3 linked regions of the Macaca mulatta genome follow. The protein of the gene in region 1 interacts with the protein of each later gene in a pairwise test. Links are inferred from orthologs where the notes say so. Each region holds a gene or a part of one and is shown in the gene's direction. Other genes may lie near its edges. The genes, in order: EXOC7, PRPF19 and SSC5D.

Region 1 (5,961 bases):
ATGGAACAAAAAAAAATTTTTTTTTTTCTTGAGATGGAGTCTTGCTCTGTTGCCCAGGCTGGAGTGCAATGACACCATCTCGGCTCACCACAACCTTTGCCTCCTGAGTTCAAGCGATTCTCCTGCCTCAGCCTCCCGAGTAGCTGGGACTACAGGTGCACACCACCATGCCTAGCTAATTTTTGTATTTTTAGTAGACATGGGGTTTCACTATGTTGACGAGGCTGGTCTCGAACTCCTGACCTCCTGATCCACCTGCCTCAGCCTCCCAAAGTGCTGGGATTACAGGCATGAGCCACTGCACCTGGCCAGAGCAAAATATTATTATCAGTATTTTTATTGAGCATCTACTATGGGTGAGGAACTGGTTAGAGACTCAGGCCAGTGCGGTGGCTCACACCTGTAATGCCAGCACTTTGGGAGGCCGAGGCGGGCGGATCACCTGAGGTCGGGAGTTCAAGAACAGCCTGAACAACATGGAGAAACCCTGTCTCTACTAAAAATACAAAATTAGACAGGGTGGTGGCGTATGCCTGTAATCCCAGCTACTTGGGAGGCTGAGGCAGAAGAATTGCTTGAATCCGGGAGGCGGAGGTTGTGGTGAGCTGAGATGGCGCCATTGCACTCCAGCCTGGGCAACAGAGCAAGACTGCGTCTCAAGGAAAAAAAAAAGAGAGAGACTCGGGTTAAATACTGGACCAGGCCCTCAAGGGTTGTCCACCTGAACCCAAAACATCCTCTCTGCAGCGGCTCACTAGCCCCCCTATTCTATTCTGTGACACCTAACAGTTTAAACTTTTCCCCACTTAGCCCTTAGGACGACACAAGGACCACGTCAGCGAAATCATCCTGGGTATTTCCTGACACAGGAATCTGCCCTTTACCTCCCCCACCTACAAAAGGACGGAAATTGTCCTCCTGCCCGAGGGAAGGCTGCCCATCCCTCTCCAGGCTCTGTACACCCATTTCCTCCTCCTCCTCTTTGGGTGGCTATGAGTAGAGGGAGCGCATGGGAACCCTAGAACTTGGTGCCCCCCAGGCTGGGAGTAGCGGCTCACGCCTGTAATCCCAGGACTTTGGGAAGCCGAGGTGGGTGGATCACTTGAGGTCATGAGTTCGAGACTAGACTGGGCAACATGGCAAAACCCTGTCTCTACCAACAATACAAAAAAATTAGCCGGGCGTGTTGGCAGCCGCCTGTAATCCCAGCTACTCAGGAGGCTGAGGCACGAGAATCACTTGAACCCGGGAGGCAGAGGTTTCAATGAGCGGAGATCGTGCCACTGAATTGCAGCCTGGGCGACAGAGTGATACTCCCTCTCACAACAAAAAAAGAAAAGCTTGGTGTCCGTCCCCCCCCCCCAACCTTCTCATCCACCAGCACATGCCTCCTTGTCTATCTTCCCGGTGTCTGGACACTGAGGCCACAGAAGGACTGAACCAAGTTGGTCGGCCATGTCCTGTCTCAAGGCCGGGGGCCAGAGGCAGGGTGGGCAGGGACTGGTTAGAGGAAGGAGTAATTCTAGGTTTTTCAGGAGCTGGGTCTACAACCACAACATCCAACCCTGCAGGGAAGTTGATCCAGGGGCGCCCACCACGCCATCCCCTGGAGCTGCAGCTGGAAGCTGGGACTGGGCCTGGAGCTCCGGAGCAGCCCCGCCAGCCCACAGGATACGGTTTTGCGTAATGCAGGGTTGAAGGGGAAAACGACTACACAAGCCCCTGGTTCATTACATGGACACACGTTAGGCATCTACTGTGTCACCTGCGCTGTGCCGGGCGCTGTGGGGAACACAATCGGCCTTGGTGCCTGCCCACAGAATGCGACCTGGGGAAAGGAATTCGTCGCCTTCCCCAGCAGTGTTTATGAAAAGGCTCGGTCTTTCAACGAAAACAGCAAGTGAGCTGTAAGCGTCCTACCAGCCGCGGGACATAAGGCCGATCAAAAACCTCTCCTGAGGAAAGGAACCCGCGTCGAGATCCCTTGTAGGATCCGAGTACACGTCACTCCACAGCCACACTCAAGATGGCCGTCGGTCCGTTCCTGGGCTCCGCGCAGGCGCACTTCCGCCTTCCACGCCCAACCTGGCTCCGCCCAGGTGTCCCGGGGCGGGACCAAGAGCGGAAGTGGGTGTGACGGGGACTGGGGCCCGGTGCGCCAGCGAAGGAGAGATAGTGGGGAGTGGGAGCCGTGGGGTTCGGAGCGATGATTCCCCCACAGGAGGCATCCGCCCGAAGGCGGGAGATCGAGGACAAGCTGAAGCAGGTGGGCGTGGGCCTGGGGAGGAGGTGAGGGAAAGAGGCCAACAGCGGGGCCTGAGTGTCTACTCGGAGAGGAGGCAGGGGTGGGAGGGAGCGCACCGAGCGAGGAGATGGGGTTGGGGGCTAGGCCGTGGGGTCGGGACACAGTGGTCTCCTTTAGCTTCTGGTTTCTGGTGATGTCCTCCCCTTGCCTGCTCCCAGGAGGAGGAGACGCTGTCCTTCATCCGAGACAGCCTGGAGAAGAGCGACCAGCTCACTAAGAACATGGTGAGTCTCCTCGCAGCTGGGGGAGGGGGCAGGCCTCCGGACCCTGGGGGAAAGCCTTGCGACCTGGCGGTTCCAGTTCTTGCGGCCTGGGGTTCTGTCATGGGTAGCGACGCAGGCAGTGTGTGGGTTTATCTAGCAGCAGTTTGGCATCTCTCCTGCCTAGCCCCCTCCCCATATTCCGTCCCCTCACTGAGGAGGCTGCGCTTCCCCCTGGCCTGGACTTGCTGCTTTCTGTCTAAGCTCGCCATTCTTCCTTCTCTCCTTCTGCAAATACTCAGTGAGTCTGACCAGTTAGTTGGGCTAGGTACTGGGCATATGTCATCGTCAATGGATCCTCTGCCCAGGAGGTTGGCACTTTGAGATTCCTGAGAGCAGAGAAGACTCAGCCTTCACTCCAGAGGGCTTCAGGGAAAGAAAGAGCTCTGAAGTCAGGCAGATCTGGGATCTAGTCCTTGCCCTGCTGCTTAAGTGTGTGGCTCCTGATAGGTAACTCTGGTGTCAGCGAATTCATCTGCTAAAGCAGAGACTGTGCCAGCCTCCCAGTGTGTCTGTGAAGGTCATATGCGCTAATGCATGCGACTGCATCTTGCTCAGTGCCTGGTATACAATAGGTGCTCAATAAGTGAGGTTCCTTCTTTATTCCTAGGGGAGACTGGAAAAGCACAAAGTGAGTAAATACAAACTTGTATTTGTATTTAGTCACACAATAATAAAGTCCTAGTCCTTTTCTAAAAAATTTAATTTTAAAATTATTTCTTTTTAGAGACAGGGTCTGGCTCTGTTGTGCAGGCTAGAGTGCAGTGGCATGACCGTAGCTCACTGCAGTCTCTAACTCCTGGGCTCAGGCAGTCCTCCTGCCTCGGCATCCTAGTAGCTGGGACTGTAGGCACATACCACCACACCTTGCTAATTATGTGCGTGTGTGTGTCTGTGTGTGTAGACAGGGTCTCACTGTGTTGTCCAGGCTGGTCTTGGACTCCTAGTCTCAAGCAATCCTCCTGCCTCAGCCTCCCAAATTCTTAGGATTACAGGCATGAACCATCACGCCCAGCCTCTAGTCCTTATTCAATGAGTTTCATCCTTAAGAGAGTTTTGAAGATACAGAAATGCATTTGAGGCTTCTCTGTATGAAACTACTTCCAGTCCAGTTTAGGAATGCTTCAAAGAGAGCAGAAGTTGAGATTTGGCTTCAAAGGGTGGAAGGGAAGCCATCTTGGGCTGATTATTTTAGGAAGAATTAATTTGATGCTTGGTTTGCCTTCAAATAAAATTTCAACCAATTTGTCTTAAATCACCTACTATATGCTAGGCACATGATGGGTGCTGAGGATACAATGGGGAACAGATACACCCTCTTCCTTCCCTTGTGGAGTTTATTGTCTAGAAACCCAGAGAAAAGGCAGGAAATGCCCAAGGTGGGTGTGTAGAAGCAGTGCTGGGACCACCATGAGGCCTGAGATCAAGAGGCTTCCCTCCTGCAGGTGTCTATCTTATCATCCTTTGAGAGCCGCCTTATGAAGCTGGAGAACTCCATCATCCCCGTGCACAAGCAGACGGAGAATCTGCAGCGGCTGCAGGAGAATGTTGAGAAGACACTGTCCTGCCTGGACCATGTCATCAGCTACTACCATGTGGCCAGTGACACTGAGAAGATCATCAGAGAGGGGTGAGTTAGGCCCATAGGGTCAATTCCTAATCCCTCCTGGACCGGAGGGTTGGTCTGTAATCCCAATAATTTGGGATGCTGATGCGGGAGGATCACTTGAGACCAGGAGTTCAAGACCAGCCTGGACAACACAGTGAGATGCCTTTTAAGCCCTAAGCCTTAAAAGGCGGTGGGGGGGATAGCATATATTTGAACCTGGAGTCCCATGTATTAATTCTCTTCTTTCCCTTCCAAATACTGTGTCCTTAGTCCTTCTTCACCCCCCTTGCCCCAGCCTGACCTGGCTCTTTTGCTTCCCAGCCCCACAGGTAGGCTGGAAGAGTACCTGGGAAGCATGGCCAAGATTCAGAAGGCAGTGGAGTATTTCCAGGACAACAGCCCAGACAGCCCAGAACTCAACAAAGTGGTAAGGGATCTGCAGAATAATGTGAGGAGCTTGGGGATATCAGTCTCTGCCCTGGTCTCATGAGGGACATGGGGCCAGCTTGAGGATGTATACAGTAGAATACACAGAAGGATATAGCACAGTACATCCTCTAGGCATTAGTATCTCTGCCTCAAGAATTGCACATTTTTTATTATTAAAAATTCTTTATTATAAAACTTTTAAATGTATTATAAAAATTAAATTATAAATTACATATAAAATATATACTTAACATTTGATTTTTTTTTTTTTTTTCTCCTGAGACAGAGTCTTGCTCTGTCACCCAGGCTGGAGTGCAGTGCTCAGTTCACTGCAACCTCTGCTCCCGGGTCCATGCCATTCTCCTGCCTCCGCCTCCGGAGTAGCTGGGATTACAGGCGCCCGCCACCACACCCGGCTAATTTTTGTATTTTTAGTGGAGATGGGGTTTCGCCATGTTGGCCAGGCTGGTCTCAAACTCCTGACCTCAGATGATCCCCCACCTTGGCCTGGGATTACAGGCATGAGCCATTGCACCCAGCCACATTTGATTTTTATAAATGTATTTGTTGTTTCTTTATTTTGGTTAAAAATACATAATATAAATTTTTTTTTTTTTTGAGACGAAGTTTTGCTCTTGTTGCCCAAGCTGGAGTGCAATGGTGCGATCTCCCAAGCGATTCTCTTGCCTCGGCCTCCTGAGTAGCTGGGATTACAGGCGTGCGCCACCACTCCCGGCTAATTTTTTTTTTTTTTTTTGTAGTTTTAGTAGAAACGGGGTTTCACCATGTTAGCCAGGCTGGTCACGAACTCCTAACCTCAGGTGATCCGCCTGCCTTGGCTTCCAAAGTGCTGGGATTATAGGCGTGAGCCACCGCGCCCGGCCAAAATATACTATTTTAACTCTAAGTTAACAGTGGCATTAAGTCCCTTCACAATGTTGTGTAGCCATCACCATTATTATCTCCACAAATATGTTCATCTTCCTCAAGTGAAACTCCACTCCCATCAAACACTAACTTCCCATTCTCCCTTCCTGTGTCTTCTGGTAACCACCATTCCACTTTCCGTTTCTGTGAATCTACTCTAGGAACTTGAATCTATGTGATTTTTTTTTTTGCATTATATATTTTTAATTTTTTTTTAAGAGACAGGATCTGGCTATGTCATCTAGGCCAGACTGCAGTGGCACAACCATAGCTACTGCAGCCTCGAACTCCTGGGCTCAGGCAATCCTCCTGCCTCAGCCTTCCGAGTAGCTGGGCCCACAGGCACATGCCACCATGCCCAGCTAAGTTTTAAATCTTTTGGTAGAGAGGAGGTCTCCTGTGTTGCTCAGGCTGGTCTCAAACTACTGTCC
Region 2 (5,920 bases), on another chromosome or scaffold:
TTGTCTCTGTGCTCCCACCACTCCCAGTACAGTGTAAGCTCCAAAAGAGCAGAAACTGTGTCTTTCTTGTTGACCTTTTCTATCTCCAGTTTTTAGAATAGGGCTTGGCACATAGGAAGTACCCAATCAATATTTGTTGGATGAATGAAATGCCTGGGGAATAACATGAATCGATATTTCATTCAAAGCGGATCACTGGCTGCTCTGTGGAAAGTAGATTAGGAGGAGGAGGCCAGGCTGGAAGCAAGGAACAAGTGGCAAGCTACTTTGTTGGTGCAAGAGAGAGATGAAATGCCCTTTTGCATATTAACTCCTCATAAGAGTTCAGCGAGTTAGTTCTACCCCTGTCATCACTCCCTCTGTTTTACAGATGAGGAAACTAAGGCATAGAGAAGTTCATACAGTTAATCACCTGGGTGGTGCTAGGATTTGAGCACACAGTCTGACTTCAGAGTCCATGCTCTTGGCCACTATGCCATACTACCTTTTGTACCTGTAACTTTTATTTTTCTCTCCAAGCTTTTGCTTACATTGTTTCTCCTTCTGGAATGCCTTTCCTTCTCCTTCTCCTCTGAATACTGCCCACCTGTCAAAGTCCCTCTCACTCACACATCCTGTTCATCCTGCCCGTTTGTCTTGATACCTTATAGTCCACACCACATGTCTTTTGCATGATTCCTGAGAGTATCTTATCTTACAGATATCCACAAAGAATCATACACTATCTGAGCTGGAAGAGAAACAGAAAATACAAAATAAATTGATAAGAGGCCACTGGTTTGGACTGAGCTCTTGCGCTAGGCCTAACAGACCAAGCTAAAAAGAGTCCTGCCGAAGTTCCACCCCAATGAGCTGAAACTAAGATCTTTATGACCTTCTGAGAGAGAGTGTGTGTGTGCATGTGTGTTGGCGGGGAGAGCTAAATTCCCAAACAGGCAAGTTTTACATGGCATGATAAAGAAGTACCCTCCACTTTAACCTTTACAAGAAAAGTAATTTTGAGATTACCAAATGACCAATCCCATTTTTGTTCTGTTTCTGTTTTCCTCAGTCCTTTTCTGTCTAAAAAACCAAGCTCCCCTGTTCAGCTCATTGGAACAACCATTAGATTTTATAGTGTAAGGCGCTGCCCAATTTTATAGAATTGCACCCTAAGTCCCAGAGCTACTCTGGAGGCTGAGGCAGAAGGATCACTTGAGCCCAGGAGTTCCAGGATGCACCTGTGATAGCCATGATTGCTACGATTGCACCTGTGAATAGCCACTGCGTTCCAGCCTGGGCAACATTGCCAGAGTCCGTCTCTTAAAAACAAAAACAAAAACAAAACAAAACCAAAAAACAAAAACAAACAAAAAACTTTAAACTAAATTTGTTGTGATTTTGTCTTTTGACAAAGAAGAAAGGGCAGGGAAGCCAATGTGAATTGCCCCAAATCACAGAGCGAAACGGTAGTAGTCAGGACCAAAACGCTGTCTTAGCCGTTTTCTTAGTTCCTGTACCCATCTGCCTCTGTATTTTTAACACCAGGCCATCCAGCAGTGTCTCTTAAAGGGTGGCCCGAGAAACACCTGACTTAGAATAGCGTGGGGCGCAGTCTGTCTACGCAGATCCGAGGAATCTGCATTTTAACAATGGGAAATTGGGAAATTCTCGCGCACACCAAGGTTTCAAAGACCAGGGTCCCGTGACACAGTGCCGCACAGTTGTCAAAACAAGTGCTGTCCAATTGCTTTGGTTTTAAGTTCTCACTGCATCATGGGAAATGTAGTTTCGAGTCTCCTCTCTTCCGACGCCCCCGCCAATCCCCGGGCGCTTTACGGAACGAGCCGAGTCAATCCGGAAATAACCGAGTGTTCGTGGCGGGCCCTTTCCTGCCCGGCTGCATTCTGGGAAAGGTCTATTTCCGTTAGGTGCTGGAGGCAGTGGCGCGCGGCTGTCCCCATTCCCACGTGAAGCGCTACGCGAGCATCGCTCGACTGGCGGCTCCCAGCTCGCAGCTGAGCAGTCCCGGCAGCAGCGGGGGACCGGAAGTGGCTCGCGGAGGCTCAGAAGCCAGTCCCGGAGTCCGGCGTGTGGCGCCTGGGAGCGCGGCAACGGCGCCATGTCCCTAATCTGCTCCAGTGAGTGTTGCCTGCGGCCGAGCGCGGGTCGCAGGAGGCCGGAGAGCGGCGCGGGAGCGTGTGCGGGCCACTGCGGCGCCGGGGCCGGGGCCGGGGTGGAGGCGGGAATGGGGCGCTCCAGAGGCAGAGCGGCGGCCTGTCAGCCCCGGAGCCCTCCCCTCGGAGCGGGGTGCATTTGCGCAGTGCTCCGCAGTTTACATAGTGCCGGAGGTTTATTGTCGCAGGCATTACTGAGGCAGGTCGCCTCATTCTACCGAGTGGAAACAGGCCTGGACAGAGGGAGCTGGTGCAGGGGAAACAGCCTTGATGTAAGAGTCAGGAAACCCGAGGTCTTGTCCAGGGTCCGCCTCCTGTTGGCTTTGTGAATTGGCTTAAGGCTCTGTGCCTCGGTTTCCCCATCTGCAAAATTGAGAGCATTGCACTGGATATTTTGTGAGGCCTTGCTCGGATAGTCGCAGCTTTTGCAATTTGTAAAGGTCACATGATGAGTTAGAGGTAGGCAAGGCTGGCAGCTAGGTATATGGCTCCCAGCCTTACAGTGTATGACTAATTAAAAACAGCGCACATTTATAAAGCCCTTATTGGTTTACAACGCGCTTCCAAGTCTAGGATCTCATTTTATCCTCACAAGAATTCCCTAAAGGAGAAAAGATCCTGGTGTTGCAAATGAGGAGGCAAGGCTCAGGAAGAGCGGGGCTTATCTAAGAATGCGTAGCTAGTCAATGGCAGAGCTGGGTGACGTAGTTAGGTGACACGGAGTTTGGAGCCTGAATCCTTGCTTTTTCCATACCTTCCACTATCTTTCCCTTTGATATTTTATCATGACGTACATACGTTTTCCTTTCCCTTTTCGTTGTTTCATCAGATTACTCGTTTCCCCTCCCTTTTGCTATTCACCTCCGTCTCTTCTCAGAACCTGTACGTTGATCCAGAGAGGGGGAAGAAGGAAGGGAAATGATGGAAAAGGAATCCCTCACATTGAAGAAATTACAGCTCGCAAAGTACCTTCATATTCATTGTTTCCTTCCAGTCTTGGGAAAGCTCTCTTTTACGTTCCCCAGCACTATCTTTCCTGGCAGGGTTCACTCATTCGTTAGATGTTTACCGAGTGCCCCGGGGGCATCTGCATTGTACTGGAAGTGAGAGACCAGCTGTAATCCTTATCCTCAAGGGGCGCACAGTCTATGCAGGCAAGAGTGTAAATGATACCTCTATTGCGGGTTGTTGTGAACATGAATTACTGTACTGTATGCCTAGAATTGTGCTTGGCACATAGACATGTGCCATGTAAATATTTTTATTGTAATGATTGCCACTTTGCTCCTTGGAATCTTCCAGGTGATAAGTGTCTGCCTGTATCCTAATCAGTTGACTGGTAGCTGGCAGACGTCAATAGCTTCAGGATGGGGACTGGTCACCTAGAAAGACTAAAGGGTATTAGAAAGTTGGGATTTTCAGTCCTACCCCCCACTTACCTGGGGAACGAGAGGGGCTGAAGTTGTCACTAGTGACCAGTGATTTATTGAATCATGCCTTTGTAATGAAGTTTTCATAAAAATACAAAAGGGCAGGATTCAAAGAGCTTCTGTATAGCAGAACATGTGGGCGTTCCTGGAGGGTGGGGTGCCCAGGGAGGGCATGGGAAGCTCTGTACTCCTTCTCCCATACCTCATCCTATGCACCTCTTCATCTATACCCTTTGTAATATCCTTTATAATAAACTGGTCAACATAAGTGTTTCCCACAATTCTGTGAGTCACTGTTGAAAATTAATTGAACCCAAAAAGGGGGTCATGGGAACCCTGATTTACAGCTGGTAGATCAGAAGAACAGGTCAAACAACCTGGAGCTTGCGATTGGCATCTGAAGGGGTGGGGGAGTCTGGTGGGACTGAGACCTCAACCCGTGTGATCTGACACTATCTCCAGGTACCTGGTGTCAGAATTGAATTGGAGGACACCCGGATGGTCACATCTGAGGTCACAGAAGTATTTTGTTTTGTGAGAGAATAGGAGAAACTGAGTTTGTTATTCCTATATTCTCAGACTTTATGATTTCTTTGATAATCCCTCTGGAGCTATAGACTAAGATGGATGGAAGGGATTTGAATGGCTTCATGTGTGTCTCCATGTCATGGAGTAAACTGTATTCATAGAGTACACAATCATTGTTCAGATATTAGGTGGCGATAATGGACTGCTGTTCTCTAGGTGCTTGGCACATAGTAGTTGTTAATAATTATTTGTTGACTATCTGATTGTCAGGAGACTAAAGGAAAAGCTAGTTCCACAGCTGGAAAGCATTCTGGGGCCAGTACAGAACTGGCTTAGGGTCAGATGTCTTGCTTTTTGCTAGTTGATTGTGAGGATGCCTAGTCTTGTTGGGGCTAATAGCAGATGAGGAATCCTCTAGGCTCAAGATTGCCTTCACTCCAAGCTCACTGCCGGCCTTTTCTCTACAGTCTCTAATGAAGTGCCGGAGCACCCATGTGTGTCCCCTGTCTCTAATCATGTTTATGAGCGGCGGCTCATTGAGAAGTACATTGCAGAGAATGGTACCGACCCCATCAACAACCAGCCTCTCTCCGAGGAGCAGCTCATCGACATCAAAGGTGCCTATTGGCTGCCTTAGTCTAGGGCCATCTTAGCTCAGAGCCTGAGAGGATGGGAGGTGGTGCCAATGCACTGGAGGAGGAGATGGTGGGCTGTTTATGGCTAAAAGGAAAAGATGTGATGGCAGGGGAGGTCCCTGGGTTATGCTCTTCATACCTACTTTCCCTTTCGGCAGTTGCTCACCCAATCCGGCCCAAGCCTCCCTCAGCCACCAGCATCCCGGCCATTCTGAAAGCCTTGCAGGATGAGTGGGTGAGTTCCTGCAAGAGAATTAGCATCTTCCCCACTTGAAGAGAATGCATCGCTGAGTTAGGACTTGGGGGTGGGAAGGATGGAGAATTATTTAGATAATCATCATCAGGGTTTTGTGACATCAGGGTTTTGTTTTATTCTTTGTTGTATCCCCAGCACTGAGAGCGCCTGGTACGTAGTAGGTGCTCTAGAATTATGAACTGAATGATTGAATACATCCTGCAGGACTGTCTGGCACAGTGCCTGACACAAAGAGGGCAATCAATAAATAGCAGCAGCAGCAGTGTTGTTATCCACTTTTAGAGAGGTGACGGCATGACAGCTGGAATTTGCCAGTAAATTAGGGAAAGTAGGGATGGGAAAGAGCTGACTGCCACTCCTGTCTGTGTGCCCAGTGTTTGGCTTGGGGTAGGAGCTCAAGAGTGTCTGCTGGCATATTCATGGTGCTCGGATATTGTTTGGGTCACTGATACTGGTCTAGGCTGTGGGATAGGAGGCAGCATCCACTCCCCAAGAGCTGGCTCCACTGGGTGCTCCCTGCGCCCCCCGCCTCAGCTCACAGTAATATTTGCCTCTCCCAGGATGCAGTCATGCTGCACAGCTTCACTCTGCGCCAGCAGCTGCAGACAACCCGCCAAGAGTTGTCGCACGCTCTGTACCAGCACGATGCCGCCTGCCGTGTCATTGCCCGTCTCACCAAGGAAGTCACTGCTGCCCGAGAAGGTGCAGCCTGCCCCCTGCCATCCCCCACCCTGAGCTGGTTCTGCTTTGTAATATCCCATTTCTAACATCGTCTTTTCTCTCAGCTCTGGCTACCCTGAAACCACAGGCTGGTCTCATTGTGCCCCAGGCTGTGCCAAGTTCCCAACCAAGTGTTGTAGTAAGTGTCCCCCTTCCCTTACCACAGCCCATTTGTGTGCAGTGGCCCACAGAGCT
Region 3 (4,604 bases), on another chromosome or scaffold:
GCAGAAATATATCCTTAAATAAGGGGTTATCGGCTGAGCATGGTGGCTCACGCCTGTAATCACAGCACTTTGGGAGACCGAGTTGGGAGGATTGCTTAAGCTCAGGAGTTTGAGACCAGCCTAGGCAACACGGTGAAGCCCCCAAGATATGAACATTAGCTGGGTGTGGTGGTACGCACCTGTGGTCCCAGCTGCTTGGGAGGCTGAGGCAGGAGGATCCCTTGAGCCTGGGTGCTCCAGGCTGTGGTTATGCCACTGCATTCCAGCCTGGGTGCCAGAGCGAGACCTTGTCATAAACAAAACAAAACATAACAAAACAGAGCCAAGGGGTTATTATCTAGACCACTGGTCACCCACTAGGGTCGATTTTGCCCCCAAGGGGCATTTGACAATATCTGAAGATATTTTGGATTGTCATGGCAGGAAGTGAGAGGTCACCCATGGGCACCTCATCGGTAGAGGCCAGGAATGGTGTTAAACATCCCACAATGCACAGGACATCTCTCCATAACAAAGAACCACCCAGCCCTACATGACAACAGTACCGAGGTTGAGAAACCCCAGCCTAGATAGCCATAAGTCACTGTGACAAATAGGAAAATGATAGGAAGCCCTAGATGAGAAAGAGGGAAAGATACAAACAAGTGATTCCCCGAAAGGGAAGCCCAAATGGCTGAGTGTGTTTAGAAATGCCCACGCTCACCAGGAACCAGAAAATACAAATTAAAACAATGGCAAGTACGGAGGAGAATGAGAAAGGTGGGTATTATCAAGTGTGAGTGAGGATGTGGGGAGACAGGCAACCCCACTGGACAGAGCTGTTTGATAAAGACGGTCCAGCAGTATTTAGTAAAGTTAAGCATGATTAGGCCGGGCGCAGTGGCTCACGCCTGTAATCACAGCACTTTGGGAGGCTGAGGTGGGCGGATCACGAGGTCAGGAAATCGAGACCATCCTGGCTAACACGGAAACCCCGTCTCTACTAAATATACAAAAAATTAGCCGGGCATGGTGGCGGGTGCCTGTAGTCCCAGCTCCTCGGGAGGCTGAGGCAGGAGAATGGCGTGAACCTGGGAGGCGGAGCTTGCCGTGAGCCGAGATCGCGCCACTGCACTCCAGTCTGGGCGACAGAGCAAGACTCCGTCTCAAAAAAATAAAAATAAAAATAAAAATAAAATTTAAAATTCCATAAAGGTATTTTGATTACTAAAATTACCCTTCGGAGCCTCTTTGGTCTCCCTGCCTTCCCCGGCTCCCCACATCGCCCAGTCCCCCGCTGTCTCGGAATCCTCTCGTATGCTGCACGCTTCTGAGCACTCCCCCAGCTCCCGCGCCCCAGCATCCCCCGCATCCCTCCCTCACCTCACCCTCCTGCACCCACTCCCTCGACCCGCGTGCCCCTCCGCAGCGGAGGACACCAGGTGGCGCCTGGAGACATCGGAGGAGGCAGGGAGGAGGGGCCCTAGGGCCGGGTGAAGTCTGCCGGTGACCCATGACGTCTCGAGGCTCTGCGCCTCTCCATTGGTCGACTCCTCGAGGGGCGGGGCGGGACGCATAGTGGGCGGAGCCGGCTGACCTCAGACCGTCCGTCTGTCTTTCCTCCTCCTCCAGGTTCCCCGAGGAAACCCTGGCCCGAGCGCCGGCCACCGCGGCCCGCTGCGACCAGGACAGCGCCCGCAACCCCGTCCCCAGGTCCCTCCGCCTCTCCAGGACCCCCAGGCCCAGCGCTGACCTCTGACTGCAGTCCAGAGCTCACGCCCCACTCAGCCTTGACGCCCGAGGCGACCTCTGACCCTCCGGACACTTCACCACCCACCCCAGACCCGACCTCCCGGACGAACCCCGACCTCATCCTGACAAGCCCTGACTTTGCTTTGTCCACCCCTGACTCCAGTGTGGTTCCAGCGTTGACCCCGGAGCCCTCGCCCACGCCCTTACCCACCTTGCCCAAAGAGCTGACCTCTGACCCTTCTACAGCGTCGGAGGTGACCAGCCTTTCCCCTACCTCAGAGCAGATCCCAGAATCTGACACAACCCCAGACTTGGACACAACTCCATACTCCAGTACAGTCTCGGAATATTCCAGATCCCCAGCCCCCTCCCCAAGCCCTCACCCCTCTGCTATCCCTGATCCCACCATGACCCCTGACCACACCACAACCCCTAACCCTACTGTGACCCCTCAGTTCCCTACCACCACTCACCCCACCACGACCCCTCAACCCACTACCATCACTCACTCCACCATGATTCCTGACCCTACCACAACCCCTCAACCCTTCACCACCATGCAGCCCACCACAACCCCTCACCCCACAACCCCTCACCCCACCACAACCCCTCATCCCACCACCACCACTCACTCCACCATGATTCCTGACCCCACCACAGCCCCTCAACCCTTCACCACCATGCAGCCCACCATGATCCCTCACCCCACAACTCCTTACCCCACCACAACCCCTCACCCCACCACAACCCCTCACCCCACCACAACCCCTCACCCCATCACGACTCCTGACCCCACCACGACCCCTCACCCCACCACGACTCCTGACCCCACCACGACCCCTCACCCCACCACAACTCCTGACTCTTCCTCAACCCCTATCATCACTACTAAGTCCCTTCCAACCTCCTTGGGGACAGAACTCTCCTCTCCCACTCTAGCACCAACAGTCAAGCCCAGTCTGCACCCCCAGTTGACCTTCACAGCACCTGCCCCTCACACCTCCACATCCCAGATGCCCACCTTAGAGCCCTCTCCAGCCTTGGAGTCCAGCCCCTCCAGGTCCTCCACAGCCACAAGCATGGACCCACTGTCCACTGAGGACTTCAAGCCACCCAGAAGCCAGAGCCCCAACCTAACCCTTCCACCCACCCATACCCCACACTCAGCCTCTGACCTCACTATGTCTCCTGACCCCCACCTCTCCCTGATAGCCCACCCCTTGGATCATCCTCCCCTTGACCCCCTCACCCTAGGGCCAACCCCTGGTCAGAGCCCAGGCCCCCATGGTCCATGTGTGGCCCCAACACCACCTGTAAGGGTCATGGCTTGTGAGCCACCTGCCCTGGTGGAACTGGTGGCTGCCGTGAGGGATGTGGGTGGTCAGCTGCAGAGACTGACCCAGGTCGTGGAACAGGACCGGCAGGAGCGCCAAGCCCTGCTGCTGGGGCTGACCCAGCTGGTAGAGGCTGCCCGGGGTCTGGGGCAGCTGGGTGAGGCCATGAAGAGAGTGGTAGAGATGGCCTGGACCACCAGCATGCCTGCACCAACCACCACTACCCCAGAGGAAGAAGAAAGGCCTCTGAGGGGAGACGTGTGACCCTCTCCAGGATTTGAGGGGCGTAAGACATTCCCGATCAAAACAAAACAAAAAAAACCAAAGTGCCTAATTAAAAACAAGGTGTGGATGGTGTTTTTGGGAAATTCTAGAGAAATAGAATTACAAGATTGATCTTGATATGTGAATAGCCCAGGTGCCATGCAAGGCGGTGTTGACGATGGGGATGATTATGAGGGTGGTGATGATGGTGATGATCTTGATGGTGATCGTGATAGGAGGACGATCACTGTGGTGAGGATCATGATAATGAGAATGGTAAGATGGTGGTGGTGGTGGTGGTGGTGGTGAAGATGGTGAAATAATGCTGATGATCATGAGGGAATGGTCATGGTGTTGAGGCAGTGACTATAATGATGGTGGTGGTGGTGATGGTGGTGATGATGATGATGAAGATGGTGAAATGATGGTGATAGTGGTGGTGGTGATGATGGTGATGATCACAGTGATGATGATGGTGCTGGTCATGAGGGAGTGGTCATGGGGATGAGGGAATGATAGTAATGATGATGGTGGTGGTGGTGGTGATGGTGGGAATGTTGATGATGATGATGAAGATGGTGAAATGATGGTGATGCTGATAGTGATGATCGTGAGAGAATTGTCATGGTGATGAGGCAATGACCATGATGATGATGGTGGTGATGATGATGGTGATGATCACAGTGATGATGATGGTGCTGGTCATGAGGGAGTGGTCATGGTGATGAGGGAATGATGGTAATGATGATGGTGGTGGTGGTGATGATGGTGATAAGGGTGATTATGGGGATGATGGTCACATTGATGGTGATGGTGATGGTGGTAGTGGTGGTGATAATGATGGCAATGATGGTGTGAAAGGTGATCATGGTGGTGATGACTGTGAAGGAACAGCCGTGGTGACGAGGCAATGATGGTAATGATGATGATGGTGATGGTGATGATGTTGGTGATTATGGTGGTAAAGATGATCCCGGTGGTGATGACTGTGGTGATGGCTGTGACAATGATGAAGCTTCATGTGAGCAAAAACTTGGCCTTGTTCATGGATGGAAGCCCAGTTTCTAGGAAAGAAGCCGATGCAGAGTACACACTCGATAATTAATATCTTTTGAATGAAAGAGTGCATCATCATCATCATCATGGCTAATATTTCTTGGGCACTTCCTATGTGTCAGGCTCTGTTTTAAGGGCTTTGCATGGATGGTGATGTCATTTTGTCTTAACGAGTGCCTGCCGAGGAGGGTACTGTTACCACGGCTCAGCAGATGAGGA

The links.
Region 2: the proteins of EXOC7 (region 1) and PRPF19 interact in a two-hybrid assay, tested with the Homo sapiens proteins (2 studies listed by BioGRID and IntAct, with this or other methods). The link is inferred for Macaca mulatta from reciprocal best matches to the Homo sapiens genes EXOC7 and PRPF19.
Region 3: the proteins of EXOC7 (region 1) and SSC5D interact in binary tests that used the Homo sapiens proteins (3 or more experiments, as listed by UniProt). The two-hybrid records come from large-scale screens. The link is inferred for Macaca mulatta from reciprocal best matches to the Homo sapiens genes EXOC7 and SSC5D.

The regions. Positions count from the first base shown.
Region 1 is NC_133421.1:85,831,913-85,837,873, reverse strand, and holds the start of EXOC7 (exocyst complex component 7), read left to right. Parts: upstream 1-2,123; 5' UTR 2,124-2,206; coding exon 2,207-2,266; intron 2,267-2,463; coding exon 2,464-2,529; intron 2,530-4,010; coding exon 4,011-4,195; intron 4,196-4,495; coding exon 4,496-4,601; intron 4,602-5,961. UniProt on the Homo sapiens protein: Component of the exocyst complex involved in the docking of exocytic vesicles with fusion sites on the plasma membrane.
Region 2 is NC_133419.1:13,165,447-13,171,366, forward strand, and holds the start of PRPF19 (pre-mRNA-processing factor 19), read left to right. Parts: upstream 1-1,900; 5' UTR 1,901-2,101; coding exon 2,102-2,120; intron 2,121-3,033; exon of another isoform or gene 3,034-3,121; intron 3,122-4,581; coding exon 4,582-4,731; intron 4,732-4,907; coding exon 4,908-4,984; intron 4,985-5,565; coding exon 5,566-5,707; intron 5,708-5,790; coding exon 5,791-5,864; intron 5,865-5,920. UniProt on the Homo sapiens protein: Ubiquitin-protein ligase which is a core component of several complexes mainly involved pre-mRNA splicing and DNA repair. Required for pre-mRNA splicing as component of the spliceosome.
Region 3 is NC_133424.1:67,856,558-67,861,161, forward strand, and holds the end of SSC5D (soluble scavenger receptor cysteine-rich domain-containing protein SSC5D), read left to right. Parts: intron 1-1,611; coding exon 1,612-3,329; 3' UTR 3,330-3,406; downstream 3,407-4,604.